Arabidopsis thaliana: one gene and its partners. The protein of the gene in region 1 interacts with the protein of each later gene in a pairwise test. Each region holds a gene or a part of one and is shown in the gene's direction. Other genes may lie near its edges. The genes, in order: AT5G61570, AT1G27290, MAPR3 and UBC34.

Region 1 (8,016 bases):
TATTTAGATATTGGGAATGATTTGTATCCTCTGTTTTCTTTTTATTAGATGCAAGATCTGAACCAGCGGCGATCAGAGGAAGCTACAAGGCTCAAGAACTTAACGATAAGAGAAGAAGAAGCGGATGAAGTGGTGGAAATGGAGAGGGAGAGACAAGAGGATGCGGAAAACGAAGCTGAGCTCGTGAGAGAATGCATTGAGAGAGAAACCGAAGAGAGACTTGAGGCGGAAGCAAGAGCGGAAGAGGTTAGAAAAGAGAAGCAGAGGTTAGAGGATGCACTTGAAGGTGGACCGCTTCAACGCCAACAATACATGAAATTTGAGTGGGAAGAGATCGTCGAGGCGACGTCATCTTTCTCGGATGAACTTAAGATCGGAGTCGGTGGTTACGGAAGCGTATATAGGTGTAACTTGCATCACACGACAGTAGCTGTCAAGGTTCTTCATTCAGACAAAAGTAGTTTAACCAAACAGTTTCACCAAGAGGTAAATAAACATTCTTCACTTCTTAAACCTCCAAGCAAAATTACTGTTCTCCTAAAACGATGGCGTTCTCTTTGATACTTGTTCAGCTTGAGATTCTTAGCAAGATTCGTCATCCACACTTGCTTCTCCTCCTAGGCGCGTGTCCTGAACGCGGAAGCTTAGTTTACGAGTATATGCACAACGGAAGCCTTGAGGAAAGACTCATGAAACGCCGACCAAACGTTGACACACCGCAACCGCCGCCATTACGGTGGTTCGAGCGGTTCCGAATCGCTTGGGAGATCGCTTCAGCACTCTACTTTCTCCACACAAACGAACCAAGACCAATCGTTCACCGCGATCTTAAACCAGCCAATATCCTCCTAGACCGGAACAATGTGAGCAAAATCGGAGACGTAGGCCTTTCCAAAATGGTTAATCTTGATCCTTCTCATGCCTCAACGGTTTTCAACGAAACCGGTCCAGTTGGAACATTCTTCTACATAGATCCTGAATACCAAAGAACCGGAGTGGTAACTCCCGAATCTGATATCTACGCGTTTGGAATCATACTTCTTCAGCTAGTCACAGCTAGATCCGCGATGGGTTTGGCTCATTCGATAGAGAAAGCGTTGAGAGATCAAACCGGGAAATTTACAGAGATCTTGGATAAAACTGCTGGAGATTGGCCGGTTAAGGAAGCTAAAGAGATGGTTATGATAGGGCTTAGATGTGCAGAGATGAGAAAGCGTGATCGTCCTGATTTAGGGAAAGAGATTTTGCCGGTTCTTGAACGGTTAAAGGAAGTTGCGTCTATCGCAAGGAACATGTTTGCTGATAACCTAATTGATCATCACCATAACGCTCCGACCCATTTCTACTGTCCAATAACAAAGGTAATGAATGATACGAAAATCTTACATTTTATGTCAGATTTTTGATACGTTATGTGTTTTGATTTGGTTTATGGGGTCATTGATGAAATTAGGATGTGATGGAGAATCCATGTGTTGCTTCGGATGGATATACGTATGAGAAGAGAGCGATTAAGGAATGGCTTCAGAAGAATCATAAATCTCCAATGACGGATTTGCCCTTTCCTAGTGATTCTCTTCTTCCTAATCATTCTCTTCTTTCTGCAATCAAGGAGTGGAGATCACAACTAATTAAATAAATTAATTAAAGGTTCTTAAATTTATACGGCTAAATTCGTCAATTAACATGAATCGTTGTGGTTTTTGTTTTGTCATACCATTCTTGCGCACAAACGTTGATGAAATATTCGAGCTTTTGTGTGTAAATTTTTTTTACCTTATTTGTTTGATTGTATTATAGGTTTTGACTGCATATTTGCAAGAAGAATATAATAGTGTTGATTTTTGTTGTGTCGTATTTTCTTATAAAAGTATACATATCAATACTAACGAAAAACATATATGAATCCAATCCAATATGAATATGAAAACTCTTCGTTTTTTAAAAATCTTTTAGTTGTGTATGATTTTATTATCAAACATGAGATAGTATCGTAAAAGTTGGCCTATCGTTTATACTACGAAGATACCCATATCATTTACTATTTTGTATTTTTGTTTGTTTCTCTAACATCTATCGGTTTCTTAGTGAAAAAAGTCTAAAATATTAAAATGGTATGTTTTGTCATGTTGGATTTTGTTGAATATATGCAATTGTTAACTAGGTTAGTAACTTAGTATACATGAGATGAGATCTGACACCTAGGCCATTAAATTGTGTGGGTTCTATATGATATAGCTATGAAAGACATAAATATGGTTATAGAATAATAAATGGGCTAGCCAAACGAATACTGAATTTACAAAAATAACATTTGAGCATTGTTCACACATTCTATCATGCACTTATCTACCTGGAATGATAGAGTTTTCTTTTTCCTTTATCCTTTTTTCATATAGTATTAGTTACAAACGAAGAAACTTTAACAAAGGTAAACAAATATACGTTAATAAGTTCGAACTATACGTCAATTATGAATTATGTCTAAACCAAACGATGTTCAAAACATAGAAGTAATAAGAATTACATTATAACAACAAACAGTATATGTAACTATGTAAGAGAATCATTGCAATAATTTATATTCTATATGTCGTTTAGTTTGCACACATGCACACATAGGGAAAAAGAACTTTATCCTAATATGAAGTGATTAAATATCAGAATGGAAATTATGCAATACAAATAGAAAAATAAAACAACAAAGTAAAAAATCTCTAAAAAAATTTAGTAAACAAAAGTTGCAATTGAGTTGTGGTTGTTGAAAGGGGAGTGACATGAAGGTCCCCCCACCACCTTATTTGATACGTATGGTGATTGGTGGGGCTATCAAAGGACCATTCGACGTCGGAGTATAATTTTGTCATTATAATCAAGATTTTCTCTAATTGAAACTCTACACTAACCTTTCTTTTGTTGTGGCTAATTTTTGTATACTTTGGACGTAATAGTTCTGTTATTGGCTCTTAAATGATGTGGAAACTATTAAGAAGGTTCCATTAAGTCTAAGTGTTAATTTCTCATTTCCTTAAACTAGAAAGAAGGTTCCATAAAAAGTTAAAAGGCAATGTCTAGTAAAGAGTAGTTAGGTAGTTTTCACAAGAAAAATACATCCTTTATAAGATTGATTAGCATTCCTAACATTTTTTTTTGGGAGGTGATTTCGTACCAAAAACAGAAACAAAATTTTAATACGTTTTCACAGTACAATGCCAAAATCTAATTCTAATATGACAAAGTTAAAATAGTCGTTCCAATAAATTGACCTATACAATTTGGTTTATACCAGTAGGTCATAAACTTATACAATTGGTTGAGAACTTGGCAGGGGAATAAAAACACACAAGTTTTCAATAATAGCGAACAAAAACAACTCATAAGTCCACATTGATACAACTAATTAAAACATGTTTCAGATCTCTCTATATCATTTACTTCATCTCCATCACATACCATCTACACATCTCTCTGTATCTCTACTGTAAACAAATAAAGTTTCAATTATTCATACACTTTTTCTTATTCCATTTTGTATTCTCACACCTAAAGATTCCAACTTTAAATCTCTTGCTTAATACTCAAAATCCAATTTCCTTGTCTACAAAAGAAAAACCAAAAAATCCAACACTATTCCATGAGATGAGAAAATCCCATTTGGTAAAACTGATACTTGCAGTATCTCTACCAACAACATTCTTGATCATGATCGCCATCATCATAATCTTCATCTTCTGTAGAAGAACAACAACAGAGACCAATGAAGTTCAATACGACGTCGAATCTCCTTACGAGAAACAAGAATTTTCCGATAACGGATCCGAAACAGAGGAGGAGCTTATCATCTTCAACGGTGGAGAAGATCTAACGATCTGCGATATACTCGATGCTCCAGGAGAAGTCATCGGAAAATCAAGCTACGGTACATTATACAAAGCGACGTTACAAAGAAGTGGGAAAGTTAGAGTTCTTAGGTTCCTTCGACCTTTATGTGCTGTGAATTCAGATTCTAAGGAGTTTAATGGCGTCATTGAGTCACTTGGGTTTGTTCGACATGATAATCTCGTTCCTCTGTTAGGGTTTTACGTTGGCAACAGAGGAGAGAAGCTTATGATTCATCCCTTCTTCGGTAGTTCCGGGAATCTTTCTGCGTTCATCAAATGTAAGTCTCTGTTTTCTACTCTGTTTTTTTTCTCTCGAGAAAATGCGAGGAAGCTGAAAAAGATTAAAAGGAACAAACTTTTTTAATTTTCGGACCAAAAGAGATGTCTTGAGTTCTCTTTTTAGCTGTCTTGATTCGTGGAATCTCCTAGATTCTTGTTTTCTGGGAAACAAACAGAGTCTTGAGTTCTCGTTTTCCCGGGTAAATGGTAAAAAGTTTTTAACGCACTTATCGTTACCTATATAAGATGTCTCTGTTTTTGAAATATCTATATCGAAGATTTCTTCGTCAGATGGAATCATATTGGTAACTGTAGTCGATCCATAAGAAATCGTCTTATCTTTTACATTTTCATAAATCGTAACATGGAATTGTTTTTTTTTATCTCTGACAAACAAAAAAGTAAGTTTGTTTATTTTGTTCTAGGATCACCATTATTGATCTAACTTTTGTCGGTAACTACTTTTTTTTGTCACTTCCCACTTAGTTTGCTCATTATATAAGACAAAATCTTTATAGATCTCGTTCCTTTAAAATCTGTAGAGCATCAACATCAGCATTAATTTTTCTAATCAATATTCAATAGGTTGTCTTAAAAACAGAGCATAGTTTTGGCAGGTGGAGATGTTGACGCACACAAATGGAGCAACATTTTGAGTATCACCATTGGAATAGCAAAAGCTCTTGATCATCTCCATACAGGAATGCAGAAACCGATTGTTCACGGAAATCTGAAGTCGAAAAATGTTCTACTAGACAAGAGTTTTAGGCCTAGAGTCTCTGATTTCGGCTTGCATTTGCTTTTGAACCTTGCAGCTGGGCAAGAGGTTCTAGAAGCTTCAGCTGCAGAGGGTTACAAAGCGCCTGAGTTGATCAAGATGAAGGAAGTAAGCAAGGAGAGTGATGTATATAGTTTCGGTGTGATCATGCTTGAGTTAGTCTCTGGTAAAGAGCCGACAAACAAGAATCCAACGGGATCTGTACTTGATCGTAATAGGTTGTCGGATTTGTACCGTCCTGAGATTATTAGGAGATGTCTGAAGGATGGAAATGGTGTGACCGAAGAGTGTGTCCTCGAGTACTTTCAGCTTGCAATGTCTTGTTGCTCTCCATCGCCTACTCTTAGGCCGAGCTTCAAGCAAGTATTGAGGAAGCTTGAAGAGATCAGGAAATGATGCATTAGCAAACTTGACTAATTTGTGGAAGAGACATAGGAAGAGAAAGATTCAAACAATCAGAAACCTTTTTGCAAGATTGATTCAATGCGTAGGGCGGATAAGAGAGTCTTCATAGGATGATACAATACATATAACAAGTTCTAGCTTGTGGAAGTTCACAGAGAAGTAGTTAGTCTGATTATCTACAGAAGTAACTGAAGATGGATCAAGGTTTTGCTTAGGAAGGACTTTTAGAACAGAGTTATTGGAGAATAACTGAGAAAAGAGCCAACAAGAGACTCGAAGAACTTTGTAAGGCCTCTAGTAATCATAGAACATCATCTTTTTGAATGTAAATTGTCTTTGCAGTTGTATCTTTATAGCCTTGCTCGGTCTGTGCAGATATGATTCTTGAGTTGTATACCTGAAATCTCCAAGAGGCTCTCTCTCTCTTTCTTTCTCTATATATATATGGTTCTTGTTCTTGAAGGAGAACTTTGCAGTTTTAAGCAAAGTATCATGAACTAATCTTGTGGTGTTTGTTATAACCACAGATTCTACACTTTTTACGCTGCACTTTTCTCCATCAATACATTCAGTGTTTTGTATATATTATCCTTCTGGGGATGGTATTGATCCCCAGAGCAAAACTTGTGGATTTTCCCGGGAAAATATTCAACAACAACTACCGAACTAAAACACACTGAAAAAAGTACCAGATTTAAACGGCACGGAGTGTTATAATTCTTATTACGAACGTCATGGTGTTATACTCCTTCTTTTTCAAATCGGTTTATTCTTTTTTCCGTTAAGTTTGATTTGAACCGGAATTGATCGGTTTAATCCGGATTGAACAAGCCTAGTCTTCTTCGTTTTGGTGATCTCTCTCTCTCCTATGAATTGAATTCCACAGAGAGATTCTAAAAATCTTTCAATCCCACAGATTCGGATTTGTACTCCATACTCATGGAAGCTTCGATTTCGTTTCTGGGGTCAACAAAACCCAATATTTCCTTGTTTAACCCTTCTTCAAACGTCCTTCCTCGTAGAGATTTCCCTCTTCCTGCTTTGAAATTGAAGAAAGTTTCAGTGCTGCCTCGAATCTTGCACCAGAAACGACTCATCAGAGCTCAGTGCTCTGATGGATTCAAACCAGAGGAAGACGATGGGTTTGTCCTAGAAGACGTTCCTCACTTGACCAAATTTCTCCCTGATTTACCGGTATTCGATTCTTCGCTGTTTCTGTCATGTGTTAATATCTTTGTCAAGTTATGAGTTTTTCCATCTAAAAGTATTAACTTTTCTGTTGGGTTGATGTTACTTCCCTAATTGATGATTTTGTTTCTGACATCACAGTCATATCCAAATCCATTGAAAGAAAGCCAAGCATATGCCATTGTTAAGTAAGTTCAAATTTCTACATGGCAAAGTCACTAAACTCATAAATACCTTTGAGGGTTGTAATGTATTGTTCATATGGTTTCTGTAGGCGAACTTTTGTCAGTTCCGAAGATGTGGTTGCGCAAAATGTAAGCTTGATGTGTTTTTTTCTAAGCTTTTTTTTTTCGATTTGCGGGTGTTTACTTGCTCTCAAAGCTCCCTCATTTTTAGATTGTAGTCCAGAAGGGAAGTAAGCGAGGAGTACACTTTAGGCGAGCAGGGCCTCGAGAAAGAGTATGATTTCTTCTTTAAAGTGTTAAACTTTTGTGAGATTTTTCGCAACTGAAACCTGTTAAGTTTTTGGTTATACAGGTGTACTTCAGATCAGATGAAGTAAAAGCTTGCATAGTGACTTGTGGGGGCTTGTGCCCTGGAATCAATACTGTTATACGGGAAATTGTATGTGGATTGAACAATATGTATGGTGTTAATAACATTCTCGGCATTCAGGGAGGATATAGAGGCTTTTACTCCAAAAACACTATGAACCTGACACCTAAAGTAGTTAACGATATTCATAAACGCGGTGGCACTTTTCTTCAAACCTCAAGAGGAGGACATGATACAGCGAAGATTGTTGATAATATTCAAGATAGAGGAATAAATCAGGTAGCTAACATAACTGATTTCCATTTTGTCCATAATTTTTATGTAGTTTAGTTTGTATTGAAGCTGAGCCATCCTAATATTTTGTCAATGTGTATGTCAGGTATATATTATTGGAGGTGGTGGGACGCAAAAGGGTGCAGAGAAGATATACGAGGTTATTTCATATCACATATTACTGAATGCTGAATGTAGCATTAGTAATTCTACTGATACTTGCTTCATATTTTGTGAAGGAAGTTGAGAGGCGTGGTCTTCAAGTGGCGGTTTCTGGCATTCCTAAGACAATTGATAATGATATTGCTGTAAATACCCATTGATAATTTTCAACTTAAGGTCTACTTTTCTCTCATGTGGAGTTTCTTATACATCTTCTTCATCCATTGTTCTAGGTGATTGACAAATCATTTGGCTTTGATACGGCGGTTGAGGAAGCACAACGAGCTATTAATGCTGCACATGTAGAGGTCGAGAGCGTGGAAAATGGAGTTGGTATCGTTAAACTCATGGGCAGATACAGTGGTAAATATTCTGTGACATATGTTGATTACTTTCTTTTGTGAATACGAAGTTAACTTGTGGTACAAATTCTGCAGGTTTTATTGCCATGATTGCAACTTTAGCGAATCGTGATGTGGTAATAGATTAGTTTGA
Region 2 (6,979 bases), on another chromosome or scaffold:
CAACACCTCAAAATTCTAGCCCAGAATCTTCACCATCGTCTTCTACCTCCGCCACGTCCACAGTCCCAAATCCACCACCACCACCTCCGACAAACAACCACCCAATGCGAACCCGAGCTAAAAATCATATAACCAAGCCCAAAACGAAACTCTCCCTCCTAGCAAAAACAGTTCAAACCCGACCTCAAATACCAAACACGGTGAACCAGGCTTTACGAGATGAAAAATGGAGGAACGCTATGGGAGAAGAAATCAATGCCCAAATACGGAATAATACATTTGAATTGGTTCCACCAAAACCAAATCAAAATGTTATTTCCACAAAGTGGATTTTTACACTAAAATATCTTCCTAATGGTACTCTTGACAGGTATAAAGCAAGATTGGTGGCTCGAGGTTTTCGGCAGCAATATGGACTCCATTACTCTGAAACTTTCAGTCCTGTGGTTAAATCTCTCACAATTCGCCTAGTTCTACAATTGGCAGTGTCTCGCTCATGGACAATTAAACAACTAGACGTAAACAACGCTTTTCTTCAAGGTACATTGACGGATGAGGTGTACGTCACACAACCACCTGGTTTTATCGACCCCGATCGACCACACCACGTTTGTCGCCTTAAGAAGGCGCTTTATGGCCTGAAACAGGCTCCACGCGCTTGGTACCAAGAGTTGAGAAATTTTGTTTGCTCGTTGGGATTCACCAATTCTCTCGCTGATACATCAGTGTTTGTTTACATCAACGACATCCAAATCGTCTACTGCTTGGTCTATGTTGATGACATTATTGTCACGGGAAGTAGTGATGCGTTGGTAATGGCTTTCATCACCGCTCTTTCTCGGCGATTCTCGTTGAAGGACCCGACGGATTTGGTATATTTTCTTGGTATAGAGGCAACAAGAACCTCACAAGGTCTTCATTTGATGCAGCATAAATATGTTTATGACTTGTTGTCTAGGATGAAGATGTTAGATGCCAAACCGGTGTCCACACCAATGGCGACACATCCTAAACTTTCACTCTACTCTGGCATTGCTCTAGACGAACCCGGAGAATACAGGACAGTGATCGGCAGCTTGCAATACTTGGCGTTTACACGACCGGATATTGCGTATGCTGTGAATCGATTATCACAATTTATGCATCGTCCCACAGACATTCATTGGCAGGCTGCAAAACGCGTCCTTCGATATCTTGCGGGAACTGCTACTCATGGTATATTACTTCGCTCAAACTCTCCTCTCTCGCTTCATGCATTCTCCGATGCTGATTGGGCTGGGGACAATGACGATTTTGTTTCCACCAATGCATATATTGTGTATCTTGGCTCTACACCCATAGCTTGGAGCTCGAAGAAACAAAAGGGAGTCGCACGTTCTTCCACCGAGGCCGAGTACAGGGCTGTTGCAAACACAACTTCAGAAATTAGATGGGTATGCTCTCTTCTTACTGAGTTAGGCATCACATTACCAAAGATGCCTGTGATATATTGTGACAATGTTGGTGCCACATATCTCTCTGCAAATCCGGTTTTCCATTCAAGAATGAAGCATCTAGCATTGGACTATCATTTTATTCGCGACAATGTGAGTGCCGGTGCACTACGAGTCTCTCACATATCAACACATGACCAACTTGCCGATGCTCTAACCAAGCCATTGCCTCGTCAACACTTTCTTCAGTTTTCAAGCAAGATTGGAGTGAGCAAACTCCCTCCATCTTGAGGGGGCATGTAGAGTATATAAGTAAAGGATAGTTTAGTAAATCATTAATCCCTAATTCATTCTAATGTAGTCCCTATATATATTGTAATTATATCATCTAATGAATTATTCAGCCTTCAATACTATAGTTTGATCATGTGCTTACTTTCCCTTCATTTGCGATACTTCAAGGTTCTTGCTGCCACTGTTTCTTTGAATGCGTCACATGTTTGAACATGTGTGTTCTTTTTGGATCGAAGCTTAGCTCTTTAGATGGAACTGAATAAGTAAAAGAGGTCACTGGATAAGCTCTGTTACTAGAATAATAGGAGGGCTTCTGCTTCACATTTGTAATCCTCTCTCTTTCTCTGAATTGATGTTGCAATTGCTTGTCATCAGTATCTGTATTTCCATAGATAACTGAACTCATTAAAGGGCAACCGAAGCTGCTTCGTGGTTTATGTTTCTTCTTTGTGGGCTATTTTGCTTTGCACTTTCACTTGTTTCTTAGTTTTGGTTTGATTTTTCATACTGGGCCCTGAGCAAAACAATTTTAGTTATATGACTTGTGAAACTTAAATGGGTTTTAATCGAATGGTAACTTCATCTAATTTGTTTGAATAATTCATCATGGACCTTAATGATAATATCTTGAGTCTACTAATCATTTCACAAATCCTTTCATTTTCCAACAGCAAGTAGCCTGATTTTTGAACCTCAGCGATAGACAGCTTAAAGTGCGGTCATTCTCGCAAAAAGCTATCAGTCTTTATTTGATTCACGAACATTATACACGAAAGTCAAAATTAAATAACCAAAAAAATTAAACAAAAAGCAAACAAGAAAACGACTTCTCTGGTATGATTGGAACAAATTTAATAGAGAGAGAGGTTAGATAAGAATGTGGTAGAAGATAAGACCCAACTACGCGTCATAACTGGGTCCCATCTTTGTCTCTTTCCCTTCTTCACTCGCCAACCCCATCGCGTGTCCCCACGCTCCTTCCCTTTACTTTTTCTCGTTATCCAAAACACGACGATTCTTCATTTTAGATTTTTTTCATTAATAAAAAAAAAAAAGTCTTTTATTGCAGAAATTTCGATCGTTTTTGTTGTGTGTACAGAGAGATTATCGTGTTTTGTTGGCAATCGCCATTAAACCTTCTTCCCTCTAACCCAATCAAATTTGCGGCTCTTTCTTTTATCTTCTCGCCTCGGTTTTAGCAAACCCTTTAGTTATCTTCTTCCTCAAGCAATTTTTCTTTTGGATTAGATTGGTGTTTTCTTTTGGTTTGTGTGGTGATGATGAGAAGGCAACGAGATGAACAACAATCTAGGGTTTTCTACGATCTATCATCTCTTGTTTTGAATCTTCTCCGTTCTCCTCCTATGCCGATTTCTTTACCTGATCATTTCCCCGATCCGCCCGCTAGAATTCGTCCTCCCTTTTCTTCGCATCGTTTTTCGTCTTCTTCGCCTTCTTTGGCTCATATTTCTCCGTCTGGATTCGCGTCGTTGCTGCTTGGTATATCTGTGGCTCTTATGCTATGTGGATCTGTGACTTTCTTCATCGGGTTTCTCTTGATGCCTTGGGTTCTTGCTCTGATTTTGGTTTTCTATGTCGCTGGCATCGTTTCTGCCATTTCTATGGTCGGGAGGTCGATTCTCTGTTACGTCTTGACGCCACCTTCTCCTTCCGGAAAGGAGATTTCTGGTAATTTTGTTGAATTTTAGGGTTAAGTTTGTCAAATTGGTTTCAATGATTCAAGCTTTCTACTTTCGTCTCGGATCTGTTTAGATTTTAACCAAAGTTTCCTTATTGATCATCTAGAAATGATTCCACTGGGTTTTGGTTCTGTCCTTATTTTGATAGAAATGGAGGTTCGAATTAGGGTTTTATTGAAAAGCACACCGATGTTTGTTCTGTCTTTGACTGAAACGATATTGTTCTTTTGTTTCCTCGTGGATCATATTATTCATGTTCACATTACTTTTGTTGTCTGAAATTAAACCTATGTTTGTATTAGTTTCATGTTCTTGCAATAATGTTTGTGTTTGACATGTCTATTCGCAGAATGGAAGCTTCTGTGAAATGATTAAACAACAGAGGTGAAGAATCTATACATCATCCGGAAGCAGAGCAGAGCGAAGCAGAACAAAAAAAAGAAGAAGAAGGATTGATTATATAAACACATATATCCGATAGAGTTTTTCTATGTTCTTTATCTGTATTTTGTTGGGGGGGTTTGGGAAAATCATGTGGATATCAGGGAGTTTTATATTTCTTTACATTTCGAAAAAAGAATTTTTCTATTTAACTACTGTTAGAAATAGAGAAGCCTTGTTATTTGTGCTTTCATGTATGTCGTTTTTATGTAACATGATCATTTCTTAAAGCATACAAAAAGATTTTAGGATTTCTGTTGCACTTCTTTCGATTTCCTTGCATTTTCGAAACACTCTGTGTTGATATCTCTTCCTTTAAATCTTCTTACAATATTTGCTCATTCTTGATCTCTTTTATGGTTTTAAATAATTGTCTCTTCAAGTTCACACGGAATCTAGTGTGAATCGAGGTTTAGTCGTGCAGAGTTGTGTGTGTTATTACATGTTTTATTATTGTTTAAGTATATTTATTTAGTGGAGGACTATACGCTATTTGCACATCTCAATGTCAAATTGCTCAAAAATGGTAGAGGTGCCGTGCCGTCAATAGATGTCACGTGTCCTGACTTGCCTTCTCAATACAAACAAAAATACTCTCTACCTAAAAAAACACAATAAACAACAAACGCATCTTTGGAGCGGCGGTGAGATTAGAGAAGAAGGGTTTGTGAAATGGAGTCCAGTGAGGATGTGGAGAATCTGAGTAGAGCTATTGAGAAGCTTCTTCATGAGAAGAGGAAGAGAGAAGCTTCTGGTGACGCCTTCATTGAAGACGCTGATGATCAGCTTTTCCTCTCTAGCCTTATCTCTCAGGTACTTTACCATCGCTCTGTTTTCTCCTTTGTTGATTTATCTGATGTTGCAGCCAATCAACTTTCTGGGTATATGATTGAATCATGAGTATTTGAGTGAGTCTGTGTAATTGTTTCGCTGTGATGTGTCTGCTTCGATTTTGATGAGATCCAACAAATACAAGCTTATCTTCATGATTGTGTTTAGTTGCTGTTTCATGTCCACAACATTATTTGTATTGGGATGTGTCCATTTCAGGCTTGTGCTAATTTTTTTGCCAATAACTTAGTTGGAATCACCAAACCCCAAGGGGAAAGAAGATGTCATAACCGGAGAAGAAGAAGAAAAAGAAGAAGAATCTGCAGATTCTTCACCATCCAAAGGAAAAAGCGAGGGCCAGAGACAATTGGAAGAAAGTATAGAAGAAATAGCTAAAGACATCAAGAAGGTGAAGAAGCAGAACAAAATAACCCATGTACTTCTCTCGGCTACGATCATCCTGACATTGGTTTGGCAGCTCTCTGAGTACTCCATGATTTTCATGTTGAAAGATAGAATAAGCCACCCAGTCAGATCCATCGGAGGTATGCTTAATGGAATGTTCAAAGGTAAGTTACGTCCAATCAAGAACCAACTTGCGGGGACTTCCAACTCCAATGACCAAAACAACCATGGGAATGGATCACACACTGGACCTCAACTTCAAGTGCCCGAGCTGTTGCGAGAATTCGGTTTCGACGATGAAGAATGATAGCTTCCCTTTGTGACTCAATAATACCAGTTGTTATTTAGGAACAGGGGTCACCCTCATTGTTTCTTTGCTTTTAGTATAAGTAGTTTACTTTTATATGATCAAAATGCGAAAGAATAGTTGCTTTCTCAAACTTTTCCACATGAAAAAGGGTTCCAAAAGAGAACCGTATTTCAAAAAATCTTTTGTTTTACCCTTACTGAATCATGGTTCAGTGCCCGAAAACAAAAGGAGTCATCTCAAACAAAGTAACAAATAGCTCCATTGATTAAAATAAAAACAGACAGCAAACCACCTGAAACAAAGCTTAATGTTCCAAATCTAAAACCAACTCAAACAGTTTTTGAATAGTCCCAAACTTTCCACCACTCTCTTTTCAGCTTCCAATAATGGTTCCATGTACCTCTGGCATCAAATTCCTCAGGCATAGTTCAACCTGAATATGTCATTGAACACGTAGTAGTTTCCCTGATTCGATATCAAATGGAACATCTGGACACAAAACACAAGTATGTCAGGAATCAGGCAAAATCCAAACAACAAGCAGTCATCAGATTTATGTTACAATCATATAGTGATCCAGTGCGTGATTCACAACACAAGAGATGCATACGTAGCTCATTACAAGTAGGTCAAGTTGACAGAAATTCATCCCACTTTGCTCTATACATACATTCCACAAGTTTGATGTTCATACAAATATGATAACAAAACACAATTAGTACCTTGATATGAAGAACTAAAATGACAAAAACATCTCTTATCGAACAAATCTAGTAAAGAGCGTTCAACACTAAAAAGAGAAAACAATGTCTTACGGCAGATGATACAAACACTGCAAGCATCTCAAACTATTTAGAGTTGAGACAATTTAATCAAGAAGGTGGCATATCTACAACTACAACAAGATCACATATGAGCATAGTTGAAAAAAACTAGCAGAATCATGGCAAAGCAGTTTCCCAATACTACATTCACGAAGTGCAAGGAGATAGAAGCTCCACAAGACAAAATCTAAATGACACAAGATTACATCTACTGATCTACGCAATCATTTGGGGGAAACCTCTTTTATCTCCAACCTTATCACAGATCTATCACTAAATGCATCAGGGAGGGTCTAAAATTTCGAGACAATTCCAGATCATTGAAGCTTTTAGTGACCTAATACACACATCAATCTACAGAGCAGTAAGGATAAAAACCCTATCGTACATGATCAACAGCGAGGAATACAAAGGAAACACTAAAAATCGAAGTGATCTAAACCCAAGGGAAAGAGATAAGGCAAAAAAAAACCTGGCTGAACTTGAGAGCGTGTTGTTCACCAGCGAGCTGAAGATTGCCGGAGACAAAGACGAGCATACCACCGGCGGGACCAGAAGGCTGACAATCGACGGTGGTGATGTTGTGCTTACACTGCTGGAAAGGGAGGCCGGTGAGCTTAGCGACGATGTTCTGAGAGCCCTGGATCTTCTGGCCTTCGAAGGTCAACATGGATCCTTCTTGGTATAGAGAAACCAACCCTGGACGATTTGCATCGAAGGTGGAGTAGTAGTGCTCAACGA
Region 3 (7,843 bases), on another chromosome or scaffold:
AATAAAGAGTACCCAGATTCAGAAAACTCAAAATGAAACCACCAAAAGAAACGAAACCAAACGCCATGAGAAATAGAAGAAAAGAAAAACTCAACCTTTAAAACAGCTCACACAACAGAGAAGCAGAAACCTAAAAGCTTCTTCAATGAAACACAACAACAACAAATGAAAAATAAAAACAGACTGAGAAAGAGAGTGAGTGTAGCAAAGAAAAGGGTTTTATGTGTAGCAAAGAAAAGGGTTTTATACCGTCGACGCCTTTGGATAGCGAAGTTGGAGAAAGCGAGAGACTCCTTTTATTGGGAAAGAGATAGGAAAGTGAAGAAGAAGATACCCAAGAGACAAGAGATTTCTCTATTCTCTCTCTCTTTATCTTCTCTCGCATCGCCGCCCTTCATAGATTAAACACACTCACCTACCAAAGTTGCATACCAGCCGTTAGATTACTCATAAGTGTATTCCACCGTCGGATTTAACTACTTTTTAAAGAGTCAACCTCAATAAGAATCTTGTTCCCAAAGATAAGGGTTTGTGTTGAGTTTAAGACCGGTTTAATCTGAAAACTCCGTCAAACCAAAACCAAACCGATTTATCATAAAAAAATTCATATCATCTACTTCCATTGGCTAGAGACAGATTGTAACGGTGTCGTCGTCGCCAAACGATTTGCCTCTTCCTAAAGGTAGGTTCTTCATTTCTCTCAGTGCCCCTTTGCGTGTTTCAGCTTCTTCTTTATGATCTAATTCATGTCTATGTTTCGTTTGATTCTTTGTTCAATTCTGAATTGAGAAAATGGCGATTCGAGATCTGTCTCTTCGGTTTTTTAGTTCGACTGATTTGGGAATGTGAAGAGATCAGATTGATTTGTTGACAGAGTCTTGGGGGTTTTCAATCTTATTCCTCTAGATTTTCGAAATTCGATTCCTTTACATCAGATTTCGCTTAATTCTCTGTCCTAGTGAGTTTTACGATCTTTAGTCTTCTGGTTTGTCAAATTCTATGTCTTTTCATGTTCTTCTGAGTTTTAATGGTTGATCTTCAATTACTTGGCCACAATCTCTAGAGTTTGAGACTCTTGACTTGTCTTGCATATATTCCTCTGTAGATTGGTTTTATGTTTGGTTTCAATTCCTTGTTGAACTATTCTGATACGGAAGTTTTCCTTTCTAAGGTTTGGTGTTTCCTTTTTCTGATAAATAGTGATGAAGATCGATTATGATGATCATGTAAGAATATAATCTAGCTTTGGTGTTTGTATTGGTTTACCTGAGGGAAGAAAAGTCTTTCTCTTTGGGACTTTAAACTTTGATTACTTAACTCCAACATTATCATAGTTGGGTTCTGTAGTTCATTTCACTTATAGCAGTAATAACTCATTGATTGATGCAATCAATCAATCCTGTGATGGAAATGGAATCATGGAAATTGAGGGATTCAGGGAGGATTGATTGATTAGAATTTCATATTTATGAGAGAATAAGAGAACTGATGTGTGTTTCTTTTCCTACTTCTTAAAGTTGTGCTCTTTCCTATTTCTATAAGCTCTTGTGGATAACAACAGTTGATTAACGTTCTTATGCTTGTTTAGGGTACAACAAGAATGGAAGAAGAGTATGAGAGTCGTCGATTGAGGAGATGGGAAGAGTTGGACACTGACATCTTAGTAAGAATTTTCCAGAAGTTTAGCGTCTTTGAGTTGACTTCGGGATTAGCTCATGTTTGTAGAGGATGGAGAGCTGCTTGTTGCGATCCGATTCTTTGGAAGACGGTGGATTTGTCAAACATGAGATCTAGTTTCATCAAGATCCCATTAGAGCCTTATGTCTATGTGGAACGCCGATCTGATGAGGCCCTAACCCGCATCCTGAAACTCTCCATGAACCTTAGCGGAGGAAGCACGAGGACCTTGATTTTTCATTTCAACTTGTTCTTGAGTGATGATCAGCTTACTTACACCGCAGAAAGGTATGTCCTTTTCGTTCTTCCACTTATTTGTCTTCCAAATTGTTTCATCATGGCCGTAAACTATGGTTTTTTAGTCAAAAGTTGGTTCAGTTTTTGGTTTGGTTAAGTTCATGTACCCACTTTCAGTCAAAATTGCTGAATTACAATTAAGCTGAATCTCGCAAATGCTAAAAGTTGAAAAATTTGTTGTACTGAATATTTTGCAGGTGTCCAGGGTTGAGACGGGTCGTCCTACCGGCTTGGAACAGAATAAAGAAGACTGGTATATGCAAAGCGATAAGAATCTGGAAAGATCTAGAGTCACTAACAATGCCAAGCATCGCAAACCCGCCTTATCTCTTAACAGAAATTGCCAAGAACTGCAAGAATTTTAAAGAGCTGAAGATCATGGGTCCATTCGAGGTCTTCTTTGCAAACACGCTCATCACTTGCCTCCCAAACATCAAAACACTCAGCATCAGATGCTCGGCGATAAAGCGGGAAGCACTGATGAAAATCCTTGACGGATTACCAAGCCTTGAAGTGCTCAACATATCACACTCTCACCTAGTGGAGTACAGCGGTTGGCAGCCTCAGCAGAAGGTGATTGTTAGAGAGCTCGATAAGACGATAATGGAGAAAACAGCAAGGCTAAAGAAATTCTTGACTTGCATGGATCACAAGACGTGTGTGATGTGTCAGAGGACTGAAAACGATGAAGGGATTGTGAGATGGTACAAGTATGAGGAAGGAGACTGGAAGGTTGATGAAGTGAGTTCTCTTCATCTTTGATGTTTCTGCTGTGATCATTCTCTGTGAAGGACTTAACTTGTTATTGTTCTCATCTTTGACTGTTGAATTGTTTATTTCTTTGTGTTGTTTGTTTTGATTTGAATCGTATTATGTGTATATATCTGTAGGCTATGCCAATGAATGTCTGTAGTGATCAACTTTTGATCACCACCAACCTTGCACACCAAATAGGAAAATAAAACAATATTGTTACAATTATTTGTCTTGATATTAGCATTATTAGTCACATTTGTTTTGCAAATCATCTACCTTTTTTTTTTGGTCTATATCTTATTCTTCTTAGTTCTTACCTACCAGTCTTCTCCGGCGGCATTAACGACACCGTTTTATCGAGCTCAGCCACCACTAGTTAGGTAACGATATATATTCTTAAAAACGTTTAGAAAATTTCTATGTATGTTTCACACGAACAAAAAGAAAATATTTTTCAGACATCAACGGTCATTATGGACGACGACTGTTAAACAAAATCGTTTAAAATTCTTGTTGCGTAATTTGACCATTTTATTTTATTTTATACCAAAAATTGAAGATATTATATATATGTTTTAATTCGATCGCAAATAAATCTGAAAATTAAAACACAAAACGTTACTCTTCTCTCTCATTCTCTTTCGCTTCTCGATAGCTTCTCAAATCATGGTTCAGCAAATATGGGAGACGTTGAAGGAAACAATCACAGCTTACACTGGACTTTCTCCAGCTGCGTTTTTCACCGTACTTGCTCTCGCTTTCGCCGTTTACCAAGTCGTCTCCGGTTTCTTCGTTTCTCCTGAAGTTCACCGACCTCGTTCTTTGGAGGTTCAGCCTCAATCGGAGCCTCTTCCACCGCCGGTTCAGCTCGGAGAAATCACTGAGGAGGAGCTTAAGCTTTATGATGGCTCCGATTCTAAAAAGCCCCTTCTTATGGCGATCAAGGGCCAGATCTATGATGTTTCTCAGAGCAGGTATTTCTTGTGAAATCTTTACTTGTTCATTAAATTATGATTGAATCCAAATGATCACTAGTTAAATTACCAGTAATAAACGATTCAACCCAATAGTTTCGAGATTTGGGGTTTAGGTTAGTTAATCATGGTTGACTGTTTGATTTATAATCCGAAGTTTCCAATTACTATCTATCTTATGATTCTAGTATATCTACTGATGCTCGAACTCTAGTTTAAGTGATTCTTTATTGTAAAACTGAACACTTTTAGTAAATCTTTTTGATGAATATTCTCTCCTTTTTGTTCATAATCTTATGATGCTCTTTTTATTGCTTTTTGCATCTTAGTGTTTGTTTTTTCACTTCTTTTCTTGGAACAATACCATTAGAAGCACTGATACAATTGTATTGTATTCAAGTTATCGGAAAGATCTCTACTTTTTCTTATACTAGAAAAACCTGTATTTAGATTACATCTTGGATTAGTAGAGATTGATAACGTACAAACTCGTCAAAGGTTTGGCTTCTAATATTGCTATTGTGGCGAAAGAGATCGTTCACTGATTAATTATCCACATTTGCTTGCTATTTGTGTTCCATGACGTTTGTAAATTAAGTTTTGGCGAACATTGTTGGTATGTAACCATGCTGCAGTTGTCTAGATCCCTGACTTGTCAACTAGACAGTTCTTTTACATTCCAGTTACCGAAAACTTCGTTGTGGTAATTAGGTTTTGTGCTAGATGAAATAATCACTTCAGTGATCATACCGTTTTGCTTGTTCATAGTGGCGACAGACACAGACACACTCATCAACGCATATACATGTCGATGTATATGTATGCATAACTTTTAGTTTTTTTCTTGTACATAGTTCATCAGCTGTACTACATATCTAGATGAATCATATTCATATGTGCCAAGCTGTAGTTTTTCATTCTTCAAACTCTACTTAACTCTTACTGGTCGCTAATTTGCATGACCATCTGTTCTTTTTATGCAGGATGTTTTATGGACCAGGTGGGCCATATGCTCTGTTTGCAGGGAAAGATGCAAGCCGAGCTCTGGCAAAGATGTCATTTGAGGACCAAGACTTGACTGGAGACATCTCAGGTCTCGGTGCATTTGAGCTAGAGGCGTTACAAGACTGGGAGTACAAGTTCATGAGCAAGTATGTCAAAGTCGGAACCATTCAAAAGAAGGATGGAGAAGGCAAAGAAAGTTCAGAACCTTCCGAAGCAAAGACTGCCTCTGCGGAAGGTCTTTCTACAAACACTGGAGAAGAAGCTTCAGCAATTACCCATGATGAAACTTCTAGAAGCACAGGCGAGAAAATCGCGGAAACCACGGAGAAGAAAGATGTTGCAACTGATGATGATGATGCTGCAAAGGAGTAAAGTCAATGTAATGAGAGGCACAGTTTCTCTTGAGAAATTAGTGAGATTTTTCAGGGTTTAAGTATGAGTCGTATATAGCTCAATAAAAATGGTGACCTTGTGTGTACTTTTTGGATCTTGTATAATGACATCTAATTCTGGTTATGGAAGCTTCAAAATACATTATTTCTACAGTATTAATCGATAAACAGTTCTATAATTCAGGGTTTGTTCACTTGTTGTTTATGCTTAGTTCATATTTGACATCCTGCTATGTGCCTGGTAATTGAAGATGGTTCAATTCCTAAAATCGAAGCACCAACTTACATTTGATGGTAGGTCTGTTGCCGAACCGAAGTGAAGAATTTGCAATAATTTTGGTTTCGGTTTGGAACCTTCAAACCGACCGGTTTCGAATTATTATTGAACCAAATTTTCAAAATTCAAATATCTTGTCAAATCATTTTCTTCCCTCTTTCTGTCTCTGTCTCTCTCTCTCGCTCGATCTCGAAGGTGAAGCTATGGGAGTGAAGTATCTTTGGGATGTCTTGGAGCCTTGTAAGAAGACTTTCCCACTCGATCATCTTCAGTGAGTTGTTTCTTCGTCTCAATTTCTCTTTAATTTTTCTGGGTGTTTAAAAAGACCAAGTCTTTACGAGATCTTCGTAATCGCTGTAGAAACAAAAGGGTATGCGTGGATCTTTCGTGTTGGATGGTGGAATTGCATAAAGTGAACAAATCTTATTGCGCCACTAAAGAAAAAGTTTATCTTCGAGGATTTTTTCATCGTCTCCGAGCCCTAATTGCCCTAAACTGCTCCATCATTTTAGTCTCAGGTAATTTAATTCTACCCTACTGTTGAAAATTGCCATCAGAAGAGCCAATTAGGGTTTATGTAGTGTTGTATTGTTGTCATTGTGAATTGATTTGAGTAATAGAAGCATGAGTGGTCAAATCAGTTCTTATTTATTGATGCTTTGCTCTAAAGTTTAGTTTTTTCAATGCTATTGAGCATACTTGACTTGTTGGAATGTGGCATGTAATTGTAGATGGTGCAATTCCTGGAATCAAAGTACCAACTTACAAGCGTCGGTTAAAAGCAAGATTCGAGGTACAATGATGTCAAATGTGGCACTTGTGGTTTCATCCTTGCATATGATGGCTAGTTTTTGGATTGTTTTTTTCGATTTCGTGCTATATTGGTTCAGCCAGATCGCTGACGATGGTGTTGAGCCTAGCAAAGAGACTTCACTCAAAAGAAATATGGGGTCTGAGTTCTCGTGCATCATAAAAGAGGCGAAAGTTATTGCATCAACACTAGGGATACTTTGTTTAGACGGGTAGGGCTTCAAGACAGTTAGCTTAGATTGACAATGAGACTTTGGTTTGAGTGTTTAACTTTGCTTATGAGACTTTGGTTTGAATGTTTAACTTTGCTTATGAGAAACTGATTCTGTTCTGTATTTTCCATCAAATGCAGGATTGAGGAGGCTGAGGCGCAATGCGCTCTGCTAAACTCGGAATCCTTATGTGTAAGACGCATTTTTCAGCTTTAATCAGTTTCTTGTTCGTCATGCTGTTAACCCAATATTCAATGATCATCCATAGGACGCCTGTTTTAGCTTTGATTCGGATATCTTCCTTTTTGGTGCAAAGACTGTATACAGAGAAATATGCCTTGGTCAGTGGAAAGAGACTCTTTAGTGTGTTGGTTTCTTTTACCGTCTGATATGGTTAATAGTATTATAAGTCCTAATAAATTTGCCAATGAACTAGGTGAAGGAGGTTATGTTGTTTGCTACGAGATGGATGACATCAAGAAAAAGCTTGGGCTTGGACGGAACTCATTGGTAAATTAACAAACCTCTTTAAGTGATTAGCTTTATATACTTAACCCTGATCTTTCGTTTCTATAAAGCTGCACCACGTTATTATAAAATGATTAGATTGGTAGAAGCATGAATGCAATGCTTGCAAAAGGTGGCCTTTGATATTTTATAAACTCAGGTGAGATAGATACTATGTGTATGAATGGTTCTACTGCAACGTTGTAGCTTTAAGGGCTCAATTCCTTTGTTAGCATCAGTAGACAAGAAAACCAGCTACACATTGTTGAGTGTTGACTATTATTCCATGCGTCAAAGAACTTTAAAATCTTAGCTATGTTTCATCAAATGGTAAGGTCATGTATACAATGTTTTCTTGGGTGATGTTACAGATAGCTCTAGCGCTTTTGCTTGGCAGTGACTACTCTCAGGGAGTTCGTGGTCTTCGACAGGTGTGTAGATAACTCAAGCTTTTAAACCTCCATCTATCGGGGTCATATGTTATTCGAGGTTGTCTGTTTTATTTAGAATTGGATTACAAAAGACTCACGATTAAACTTCTTCTGTGTACAGGAGAAAGCTTGTGAGCTTGTTAGGTCGATTGGAGACAATGTTATCCTTGAAAAAGTTGCATCAGAAGGACTTTCCTTTGCGGAAAAGCCGAGAAAGTCTAAGAAGCAAGTTAGGCCTTCTGTGTGCAGCAAAAAGGGGACCTTACCTTTGGTGGTTATAAATGGTAATGAAAGCAACAACTTCTTTGTGTTTTTGATATGACATGATTTTGGTGTTACCCCAAACAGAATGTTTGTTTATCATTGAAAAGCTCTTTCCATAATTTCAACTTGTTGCAGGAAATAATCGTGATCCAGAAAGACTGGAAGAGATCAAGCAGGTGATCGATGCGTTCATGAACCCCAAGTGCCACCAAGCAGACTCTAATACAGTTTCCAGGTTAAC
Region 4 (9,294 bases), on another chromosome or scaffold:
AGAATCAAGCTTGAAAACACGAAAAGGACTAAACCGATTATAACGTACCTCATCAAAGGGATAAGCGTCCTTGTTAGTCTTCAAATCTTCTTGCAATTTCTGTAAGATGGAAACAGAAATCAAAATGAGCAAAACAGTCTCCACTAGAAATATACAATCAAGGACAAAGATGTTAACCTGAGCAATGTTGACAATTTCTCCACGGACAGCATACTCACATTTGATAACCTGAGAACCCCCAAAAAGAAACCATATTGTTAGAATAAAAAAAACCAAACAAAACATCAGTCACTAAAGCTAGATTTAAGATGCAGAACTGTTCCTCGACAATAAACTATTCAATTGTAAAGTATGAGCTAATCACAAGGAAGAACAAAAATGAAGAATTCAGAAAGCAACAGACTTTTTTAATATACGCAAAAAGCTGAAGAACAAAATGGATTCTAAATAGTCCTATAAACAAAGGATCACCTAGTAATATAATACGTAAAAGAAATAAATCCATCAAGGGTCAATGATCAAGATGCGGAGACGAGGATACGAATCATAATATGCATAAACTCGAAACATGATGCCCAAAAAGAACACAAGCAGGTGATCAATAAACCCTAAATCAAGTACAGAGCAATCTCGAAGAAATTAAACGAAGCTCTTCACTTTACCAAATCATAAATCACAAAATTTCATCGGAGTATAAAACAAAATCAAAGCTTGCAAAAAGACACAGATCAATCGAGGAAACATAATCCAAAACACAGAACACAAATCACTAACAAACAGCAACCCAAAAAGGCGAGAATAAAGGAAAAATTAAGAAAAAAACGGACCTTGGGGTTGATGGTGTCAAGAGTAACGGGAAGAGAGGAAGAGGAATCAGAAGCAGACATATCGGAAGAAGAAGAAGAAGACAAGTGGCGCGATGAAGAATCGGAAGGAGCAGAAAAAGGAGGAATAAGAGAGACAAAGCTGAGATTTTTGTGATGATGAAGTTGACGACGACGACTCTGATCTATGAGATTTTTAGCTTGGCCAATCACGAATCTCCGCATTTGTGATTGTGTGGTATGGGATTTATACTAAAAAGCTTGTTGGCTTGTTTCTCAATCTAAATTTAGATTTCGATAGTTTTGCTCGAAAGACGAAACTTCCCAATTCCTGTCTTCTCTCTCTCTCCAATTCACACTGATTTTGACATTTTTTTGTCCGTCCACGGATTTAGAATTTATCTTGTTTTCCTTTATTTTCAACGGATTTCTTTAAACCCTTTTCAACGAATATTGAATGTCTTTCTTTTTTTCTTTCTTACCAAATACTCTGTCAAAAGCCATCTATATATTTATCTTTTCAACGAAAAATCAATCTAAAAAAAGAATGTAATAAACGTAAATGAGATTTTTTTTTAATTTCAAACAAAGGAATGAGATTATTATTATTGTTTTGTTTTGTTTTGTGTGTTTTCAATCCATAATCCGTAATCTCGAGTCTTTTAGCCGTTTATGATATTTTCTTAGTCAAAAAATTTGTCTAAAGAGAGGTCGTAATAAATGAAGGTGGTTTTTTCTTCTTCTTTTTAATTTAGTTTGGTACTAATAATAATAATGAACAATTAATTGGAGATAAAGAACTTCTGGATCGTGGATTATTCAGACAAAACCATGTGTTTTATTGGTCGGAGTCGGCGCGTAAAACGCTGTTAGAAATTGGACAAAATTTGGCCATTATGGGCCGAGTTACGGTTTAGAGACTCTCTTCCGGCCCAACCGGTTCGTGGGAAAAATTCATCATATTATACATGGGATCAGCAAAACGACGTCATTTTGGCGGCGGTTTTCTCAGCGTTTCCTAATAACAGTAATATTATTATACATGGGATCAGCAAAACGACGTCATTTTTGAGTAATGTGTTGGATGCCACTTTGTTTCTTCTTGGTCCAAAAGTTTGTAAACAATCTCAACAATCTGTATCGGTGTTTTAGAGAAGTACAAACTTACATGTCAAAAGGAATCTAGTGCTCACAGCTGTGATTACTTCTTTCATTGTTGCTGTTTTGCAGTGAGGAGTAATCACTGGATATCGAGATAGGCAGCTAAATAGTCAGGATATTGTGAGGTTTCCTGCAGAACAACTTTCAATTTTTTACGGATCTGAGGATGCATTTTTGAAGCATATAGAACCGAGAACATAGATAAAGAGGTTGATCATTTTATATTTAAGGTTTTAAGCACCACTGAGAACAACATGCTATGGCTGAGGATAAGTCTGCTGAAGTCAAATAAAAGAAACCACAAAGCAGAGAAAAGAAGAAGAACTCAAAAGATTAAAGAGGTTGAGAATAGTTTTGGAAAGTTAGACTACTCGAGCTAGGAGGCGTTTTAAATTTTCATCCTATCTTGATCGATCAATAAGATTAAAAGATGAGTTCATATATTTCAAGTAGATTACAGCATTAAAAGCACACATGTCTAGGTACCTATTCTACAAAAAAAACGAAAGTAGAGGATCTAAATAAGGACAAAAAAAGAACTGGAATTTTAAGGTTTTCTTGATGTTGTGATCTGCTGTTGTTTCCTACTTGCTTTAACATCTACCGGTGGATTACACCTGATACAAAAAGAAACACTTTTTGATGTCAATTACACCTAAAACTCATCTTTGGGGATACATAAAAAAAAAGAAAAACTAGATTGTGTCTCGTATCTTCTTTACTTGTTCTGTATAGGGTTTGAGCCACTCCTTGGGATTCTTCTGAAGCTATCATTTTCTCCCTTAAGTGGCTCTTTCTTCATCTCCTTGCTTACAGGCAAATCTCTCACAGCTTGACTCGAATGTGTCATCGTTAACAGAGAACGTCCTTCTACACTATACTTGCTGCTAAAGAAAGCTACAAGTAACAGAACCAGAGCCACTGAACAGCATCTCTTCATTCTGAGTTCTCTTCTTGAAATTTCCTTTAGGACTCTTGAAACCTCTTGACTTTTTCTTGTTCTGTTTTTCTGTGAACTGAGAAAATCTTGGATGGAGATGTGTGTTAGAGAAAAGAGAGACGAGAGACTTCTAAAGCTTGTTGGTTTTATAGAATAAGATTTATGTGTGTTTGAACACATAGTTATTGGGATCTGATCACGTGATCTTACTTTGACTAATGCTATTTAATCAGATGGTGAGATACTTATCTTATTCTTAATCATTTACTTACGATGATGATGATATTCCTCAAGCATCTACATTGAAACAATGATACAATATCATATGTAGAGACAAAGATCCACATATTCACATTACCTAACTCATGTAACTGCTTTGAAACTAAGAGATGGTGGTCATGTGATTAGAGCACGTGATTTCTGCCTACTGTTATCGGGGAACTCAAAAGAGGCTGAAACTTAACTTTATTGAAATTATTTTTTAAGCATAACTTTGGAATTTGGAGGTATTAGTGTAAGTCCAATTTCAGAAAAGAAAAAATTGCAGGTAACAGCTGTTTTGTCTCACTACTAATCACTAGTTTTTTTTCTTCTTCTGCAGCTATTTTTTTTATATTTCATGAAGAGAAGGAAAAATTGATTCCAAGAACCGGCACAGATTCTTTGATGAGTGGTGGAGAATAAAGAAATAGGGAAAAGTGCATTACGCAAAATAATTATTAAATCATTGATCCTCTAATAACGAACCGGAATGGATTATACAATACCGGTCTAACTTGTGTTGAATTTTGTTCGGTTTAGATAAACCAAGCGCGAGTTAGGCTAATTCTTTCTCTCTCTACCCGCGGAGAAGGAGAAAGTGAGATTAACGAGAAACCCCAAGAGAGAAAATCTTCATCGACAAAATTCGATTCAGGTGATCAATTTCTTTCATATTTTCGCAATTATTTCTTGGATCTGATGTTATCTACTTTGGAATTTCTTCGCTGCATTATCTTTTGATTTGTTGTTCTTGTTCCTTTGCGTTTCTGGGTAAGAGCGAAGCTTGAAATTGCAATTGGAATCTCTAACAAGTTTAAGACTTTGCTTTGATACGGTTTATGTGGAAGTATCTGTGATTTTCTTATATATTTATGGAAGATATTGCAGCTGATTCGAGTTTGGTTTGCCTATCATTGTTGCAATTTTCTCGGTTCAATCAAAGGATTTTCTAGGTTGATATATAATTCCAGGGATTTCCAGATAATTTCCTTTAATTTGGTTGGAATTCGATTGAATTTTCGTTGCTTTCAATTGGTTTGCAGTGATTTGGGTGAAAAGATTTTTCCAAGCTCATGGAAATTGGGGATTTTTATTCAAAGGGTGTTTCTGGTGATCATAGAGTTGTTTGACTCAAGTTTCATTTGATCTTGTGTGTATTTGGTTGGTTTTTCTTTTCAATCAGGTCATGAAAGTATTGCATAATAGCTAGAAGTATTGTTATCTCTGTATATGTGTTGTGAGATAGTACAATTGGTAAAGTTTCCATATCAATGGCACGAAAATCAACTGCAATTTACTCGTTTCGATATATGTTTTTATGTAGTTCATATATGTAATTCAGACATAAGGGTTTTATGTAGTCCATCTCATCAGTAGGTGGACTTTCACTCATATTTGTATTTCGTTTTGTTGATAATGTTAAATGGGTGTAACAGCTGCTGCAGCTATTCACTTCGTCCATAGCACGTAGATGGCAGAAAAGGCCTGTATAAAACGTCTTCAAAAGGAATATAGAGCACTTTGCAAGGTACACTCTCTTTACTTGTTTTTCTACCTCTCTCGAGCTGGAACCAGGATTCCATATTTTTATTGCTCAACCAGTTTTCTCTGTACTTTCAAATGATGCTGTATCTATATGTGAATGTTTTCTTGGTTTTGGTTTAGAGTAAGTTTCATATTTTCTTTTGTTTCTTTGGGGGTTATTTAATATGTTCTGTTTTTGGCCTTTAGGAACCAGTCTCCCATGTTGTTGCTCGTCCTTCCCCAAATGACATTCTCGAGTGGCGTAAGCCTTCCCTATCTTTTTTTCTTAATCTTTATTCCTGCTGGCTTCCTGTAATCCTGTTGCAAGCGTTTCTATAAAGATGTTATGATAAGTATATATGATGGACATATTTGCTACACTTGTGAGTATACGTTAAACTAAGAAAAAATGGGATACTACGATCTAAGTAGACAGAAGAGGTCTCACATTACTTTGATGGAATAGTGAAGACTTATTTATCAAAGGTTTATATGTACTTACAATGCATAGATTTGATAGTTTTCTTCTCAATTGTGAAAGGCTGTCAGTGTTACTGTTAGCCTGATAGCGGTTAGGGAGTTTCAGTCTTTCTATTATTACTGCATTTAGTATGTTAAAAAGGGTAGCTTGATCTCTTACTAAAATAGAGTTAAACTATTGGATTAATCTTACAGATTATGTGCTGGAAGGCAGTGAGGGAACACCTTTTGCAGGTGAAAATCTTCTTTTGAAAGTTTCTTGTTAGTGTTGTCTTACGCAGTATCTTATTTTTGATACTAAAATTCTCTTTACCAGGTGGATTTTACTATGGAAAGATCAAGTTTCCTCCCGAGTATCCTTACAAGCCACCAGGGATTACGTATGTTCCAATGGTTCCTCCAAATTCAGTCTCAACATTACTCTTACCTCATTTTTTGTCCAGTTTTTTAATGAACCAAATCTTTTTCTGTTTGCCTCAGAATGACTACACCAAATGGTCGATTCATGACACAGAAGAAAATTTGTTTATCTATGAGTGATTGTAAGGACAATCTGCACTTTCTGTTCATTATTTCGTATCAATTAACTTGTCTAATATCGAAATAAGTTGACATGGCATTTACAGTTCATCCAGAAAGCTGGAATCCGATGTGGTCTGTATCAAGGTATAGATTCTTTCTTTACTTTTGGAAGATGACAATCGATATACCCGTTGATAACCAACTTTTTTTCATGAATGCAGCATACTTACAGGACTTCTCTCATTTATGGTAAGCTCACTGTAGGTTCTACATATTTATGGACATCTTGTTTGAAAATTCTCATATTCTTATATTGTAATGGTTTATTAGCTTAGATATGAATATTCAAAAAGGAAGTCTATTTTTTCTTTTCTGTTCTCAAGCTTTCTCTAAACGTTTTCCTTGCGGCGCAGATGGATACCAGTCCGACAACTGGAAGTGTTAACACTACTGTAATTGAGAAACAACGGTTGGCTAAGTCATCTCTCGCTTTCAATTGTAAAACGTAAGATTTTCCCATCATCAAAAAATTTCAAATTCTGGATTCATATAGAAGCTAAGTTTAGTTATCTGTGGTTAGGATAGTCATAAAAGCTGGTTAGATAACGAATATAGGAATGAATGCAGTCCTGAGATTACATGTTTTCGGTATTTCACCTGAATCCAATGTTCTTACTTGTGACAGCCCAGCATTTCGAAAGCTATTTCCAGAGTATGTAGAGAAGTACAACCAGCAGCAACTAGCTGAGCAAGCTACCACACAACTGACAACACCAGAGTCTCCTCAAAAGAGCGATACCAAAGTCGAGTCAGAGAAAACCATCGATCCAACAAAGGGAGATTCAGAAGGTGGCTTGAAGGAGAGGAAAAAGAACAATAAACAGGGATTGCCAGCGTGGATAATACTGTTGCTAGTGTCGGTTTTCGGTGTGGTAATGGCGTTGCCTCTGCTTCAACTGTGATTTCTATGCAACAAACCTCGACCTGGTTTTCGTATAATCTCTCCTTGTGTCTCTCTCTCTTCAGCATCAAGAGTAGTCTCCTTTTGTCTAGTGCTCTTCGTCTGAATTTACTCATTTAGCACCTCATGGTTTGTGCTTGTAAAAGCAGATAACATAAGTTTGGTTTCACAATTACATACATATTGTAGCTTCGTTGGAACTACTTTGTATAGTATATATGAATTGAGGATAATGGTTTGGATTTGAAAAATAGAACCGTATGGTTTTCAAATTGTACTTCTCCTAGAGCTCACAGGTTAATTTGTCAATTTATGTAAATACTCTGGTGTAGTAACTTGATGAAAACAGAAGTGACAGAGAGAATACACAGACAATAGTGAATAGAATTGTTAGGTATATTGGGCCAATTAAGCAATTGTCCCTTTAGGCCCATTGGTAAGAAAAGGAAAAAACCATACTTAATGATAAATTAAAACCGGTATGGCTGTACCGGTTCAATCTGTCTTCAACCACCGACGTTGACTTGTTACCAATCTTCTTCTTCTGCTCGAGTCCAGTCCAGTGAAAGTGATTATGTTTATGGTTAATAATGTTAACTCTATAATTTAGTGGGAAAAATGTTATTTAATACCTCAACTTACAAAAAATGGTCAAATTAACCGTGAACTCGTGAAATGGCCGTTTTAACTTTCAACAAAAAGTTGACTTCTGTTTTAACATTCAAGTTTGCGTTGACTCGGCCTAATTAACCACCGTTAAAATTCCTTCTAACAGCGTAATTGACAGACGTTACAGAACATCCGTTAAGGTGATACGACGACGTTTTGTGCTATCAACAGACTTCAAAGTCGACGAAACCTCTGAAAAATCCCCAAATCAAAACCCAAACCCTAAAAATCATTTTCTCTCAAATTTTTCGATCAAATCTGCATTATGAGCTGCAACTCAAGGAATTCGAGTGGTGAAAGTGGAGGCTGCAATTCAGGAATGATTTCGAATGCTGAAGCTGGAGGTTTCAAGAGCCGTGGGTTTCCTGTTAAGTGTAAATGTGGGCTCGACGTCGTCATGTTTACATCGAGCACGGCTAAGAACCCTGGAAGGCCTTTCTTTCGGTGCAAAAGCTGTGAAGATGTAAGTAGATTTGATATGAGAATGTGATGTTTTTTGTGTTTGGTCGATAAAAGCTTGAGATGGAATTGCAGGATCATTTGTTCAAATGGGTGGAGGATTGTATGTATGAAGAGGTTATAGATGCTCTACCCAAAATCTCCAGCATTGATAACGAGATAATCAATGCAAAAGCTGAGGTTGCTGTTGAAATTGCAAACTTAAAGGAGCTAATGATAGAGTTGAAAGAAGATGGAATGTGGAGCAAAAGAGAAATTCAGAGATGGAAAAAGATGACGAAAGTGTGCTTGGTGTGCCTTTGTTTTAGTGTGATTGCAATTGTAATATCAATGTTCTATAAGAAAAAAACCCAGAAATTTGTTCTTGGTTATTAGTGTGTAATCGAATGGGAGCTTAGTTTGAATGTGATGTCTTTGTTGTTTCTCTTGTTGTTGGTCTTTGTTGTTTAGTTTGTGTTTGGTTATGCTTTTACTATGTAATGACATGTAGCTTTGGTAATGGTAATGAATTTCATTTGAAAGAAAAGGTCAACTTCTTAAAACTGAGACTAAGCTAATCATATAGAGAGACAAGTGCAAACAACAATAAGTAAAAAGACTTAGATTATGTCATAAAGACAAGTTCAAACAACAAAAACAAACCGAGACTAAACATATGTCATAAAGACAAGTTCAAACAACAAAAACAAACATGAGACTAGCTTATCATGTTCCACGAGAACATTCAAACCATGGTGCAAGTCCAGCAAGTCCTTGCGATTGTGCTTCTCCTTGTGGTTGTTCAGACACTTGTGATGTTCCACGACCTCTTCCCCTCTGTCTTTGTGCTCCACGAGTTGTTCCCCTTTGTCTTTGTGTTCCACGACCTCTTCCTCTTTGGCTTTGTGTTTGTGACCCATTGTTCTGCCCTAGTGAGCCATTGTTCTGCCCTTGTGACACATTTTCCTGCCCTTGTAACACATTACCCTGCCCTTGTGAGCCATTATCATGTCCATGTGATCCTTCTACATACCCTTGTGGTTCCTAATACAAACATTACAATCAGTTTTTGAAACAGAATTTTTGAAAATAGAAATGAAAGATATACAAACCTCATTTATCCTTGGTCGACCTCTTGGTCTCTTTGGTGGACTTAAAACAGTAGCATTTTTGCATGATTTCTTGTTGTGCCCTTCTTGCAAGCAGTTAGAGCATGTCATGATCCTCTTTTCCCTTGACATTTTGTTCGGATTTGAGGAAGAGGCAACTTCATTTCTTCCTTTCCTTCTTGCATAATTGCTTGGCCTTCCGGCATTGCCTCTTCTCCATGGTGGTGGCAAGACAGGCAGCCTATTCAATCGACCCCACAAAGGCATCCCTTGGACTGGCCTAATACCACGGAAATATGTTTCTCGCCACCTATTTCTTGTGTAGTAGTCGTTCACATAGCTCTCAACCTTCTCTTTTTTCCCTATTATCACACATGTTGCATGAACACATGGGATCCCAACCAT

Evidence for each region.
Region 2: the proteins of AT5G61570 (region 1) and AT1G27290 interact in a protein complementation assay, tested with the Arabidopsis thaliana proteins (one large-scale study listed by BioGRID).
Region 3: the proteins of AT5G61570 (region 1) and MAPR3 interact in a protein complementation assay, tested with the Arabidopsis thaliana proteins (one large-scale study listed by BioGRID).
Region 4: the proteins of AT5G61570 (region 1) and UBC34 interact in a protein complementation assay, tested with the Arabidopsis thaliana proteins (one large-scale study listed by BioGRID).

What each region holds. Positions count from the first base shown.
Region 1 is NC_003076.8:24,754,868-24,762,883, forward strand, and holds AT5G61570 (Protein kinase superfamily protein), read left to right. Parts: upstream 1-3,321; 5' UTR 3,322-3,639; coding exon 3,640-4,159; intron 4,160-4,768; coding exon 4,769-5,334; 3' UTR 5,335-5,922; downstream 5,923-8,016. Other genes in the region: AT5G61560 (U-box domain-containing protein kinase family protein), read left to right, coding at 49-486, 573-1,361, 1,454-1,639; PFK4 (phosphofructokinase 4), read left to right, coding at 6,283-6,537, 6,673-6,719, 6,806-6,845, 6,928-6,990, 7,069-7,365, 7,466-7,519, 7,599-7,667, 7,755-7,884 and 1 more.
Region 2 is NC_003070.9:9,478,784-9,485,762, forward strand, and holds AT1G27290 (uncharacterized protein), read left to right. Parts: upstream 1-2,621; 5' UTR 2,622-3,004; coding exon 3,005-3,416; intron 3,417-3,776; coding exon 3,777-3,793; 3' UTR 3,794-4,209; downstream 4,210-6,979. Other genes in the region: AT1G27300 (uncharacterized protein), read left to right, coding at 4,541-4,681, 4,950-5,411; NTF2A (nuclear transport factor 2A), read right to left, coding at 5,832-5,903, 6,711-6,979.
Region 3 is NC_003074.8:18,126,273-18,134,115, forward strand, and holds MAPR3 (membrane-associated progesterone binding protein 3), read left to right. Parts: upstream 1-3,179; 5' UTR 3,180-3,396; coding exon 3,397-3,704; intron 3,705-4,687; coding exon 4,688-5,081; 3' UTR 5,082-5,320; downstream 5,321-7,843. Other genes in the region: AT3G48880 (RNI-like superfamily protein), read left to right, coding at 1,601-1,965, 2,172-2,736; AT3G48900 (single-stranded DNA endonuclease family protein), read left to right, coding at 5,582-5,649, 5,739-5,896, 6,110-6,171, 6,273-6,400, 6,541-6,592, 6,669-6,741, 6,837-6,910, 7,279-7,338 and 2 more.
Region 4 is NC_003070.9:5,914,526-5,923,819, reverse strand, and holds UBC34 (ubiquitin-conjugating enzyme 34), read left to right. Parts: upstream 1-3,477; 5' UTR 3,478-3,841; intron 3,842-3,843; exon of another isoform or gene 3,844-4,622; 5' UTR 4,623-4,657; coding exon 4,658-4,714; intron 4,715-4,917; coding exon 4,918-4,972; intron 4,973-5,385; coding exon 5,386-5,424; intron 5,425-5,506; coding exon 5,507-5,570; intron 5,571-5,670; coding exon 5,671-5,732; intron 5,733-5,798; coding exon 5,799-5,856; intron 5,857-5,933; coding exon 5,934-5,961; intron 5,962-6,125; coding exon 6,126-6,217; intron 6,218-6,397; coding exon 6,398-6,674; 3' UTR 6,675-6,988; downstream 6,989-9,294. Other genes in the region: AlaAT1 (alanine aminotransferas), read right to left, coding at 49-99, 178-228, 828-1,049; AT1G17285 (uncharacterized protein), read right to left, coding at 2,533-2,602, 2,708-3,105. UniProt on the Arabidopsis thaliana protein: Accepts the ubiquitin from the E1 complex and catalyzes its covalent attachment to other proteins.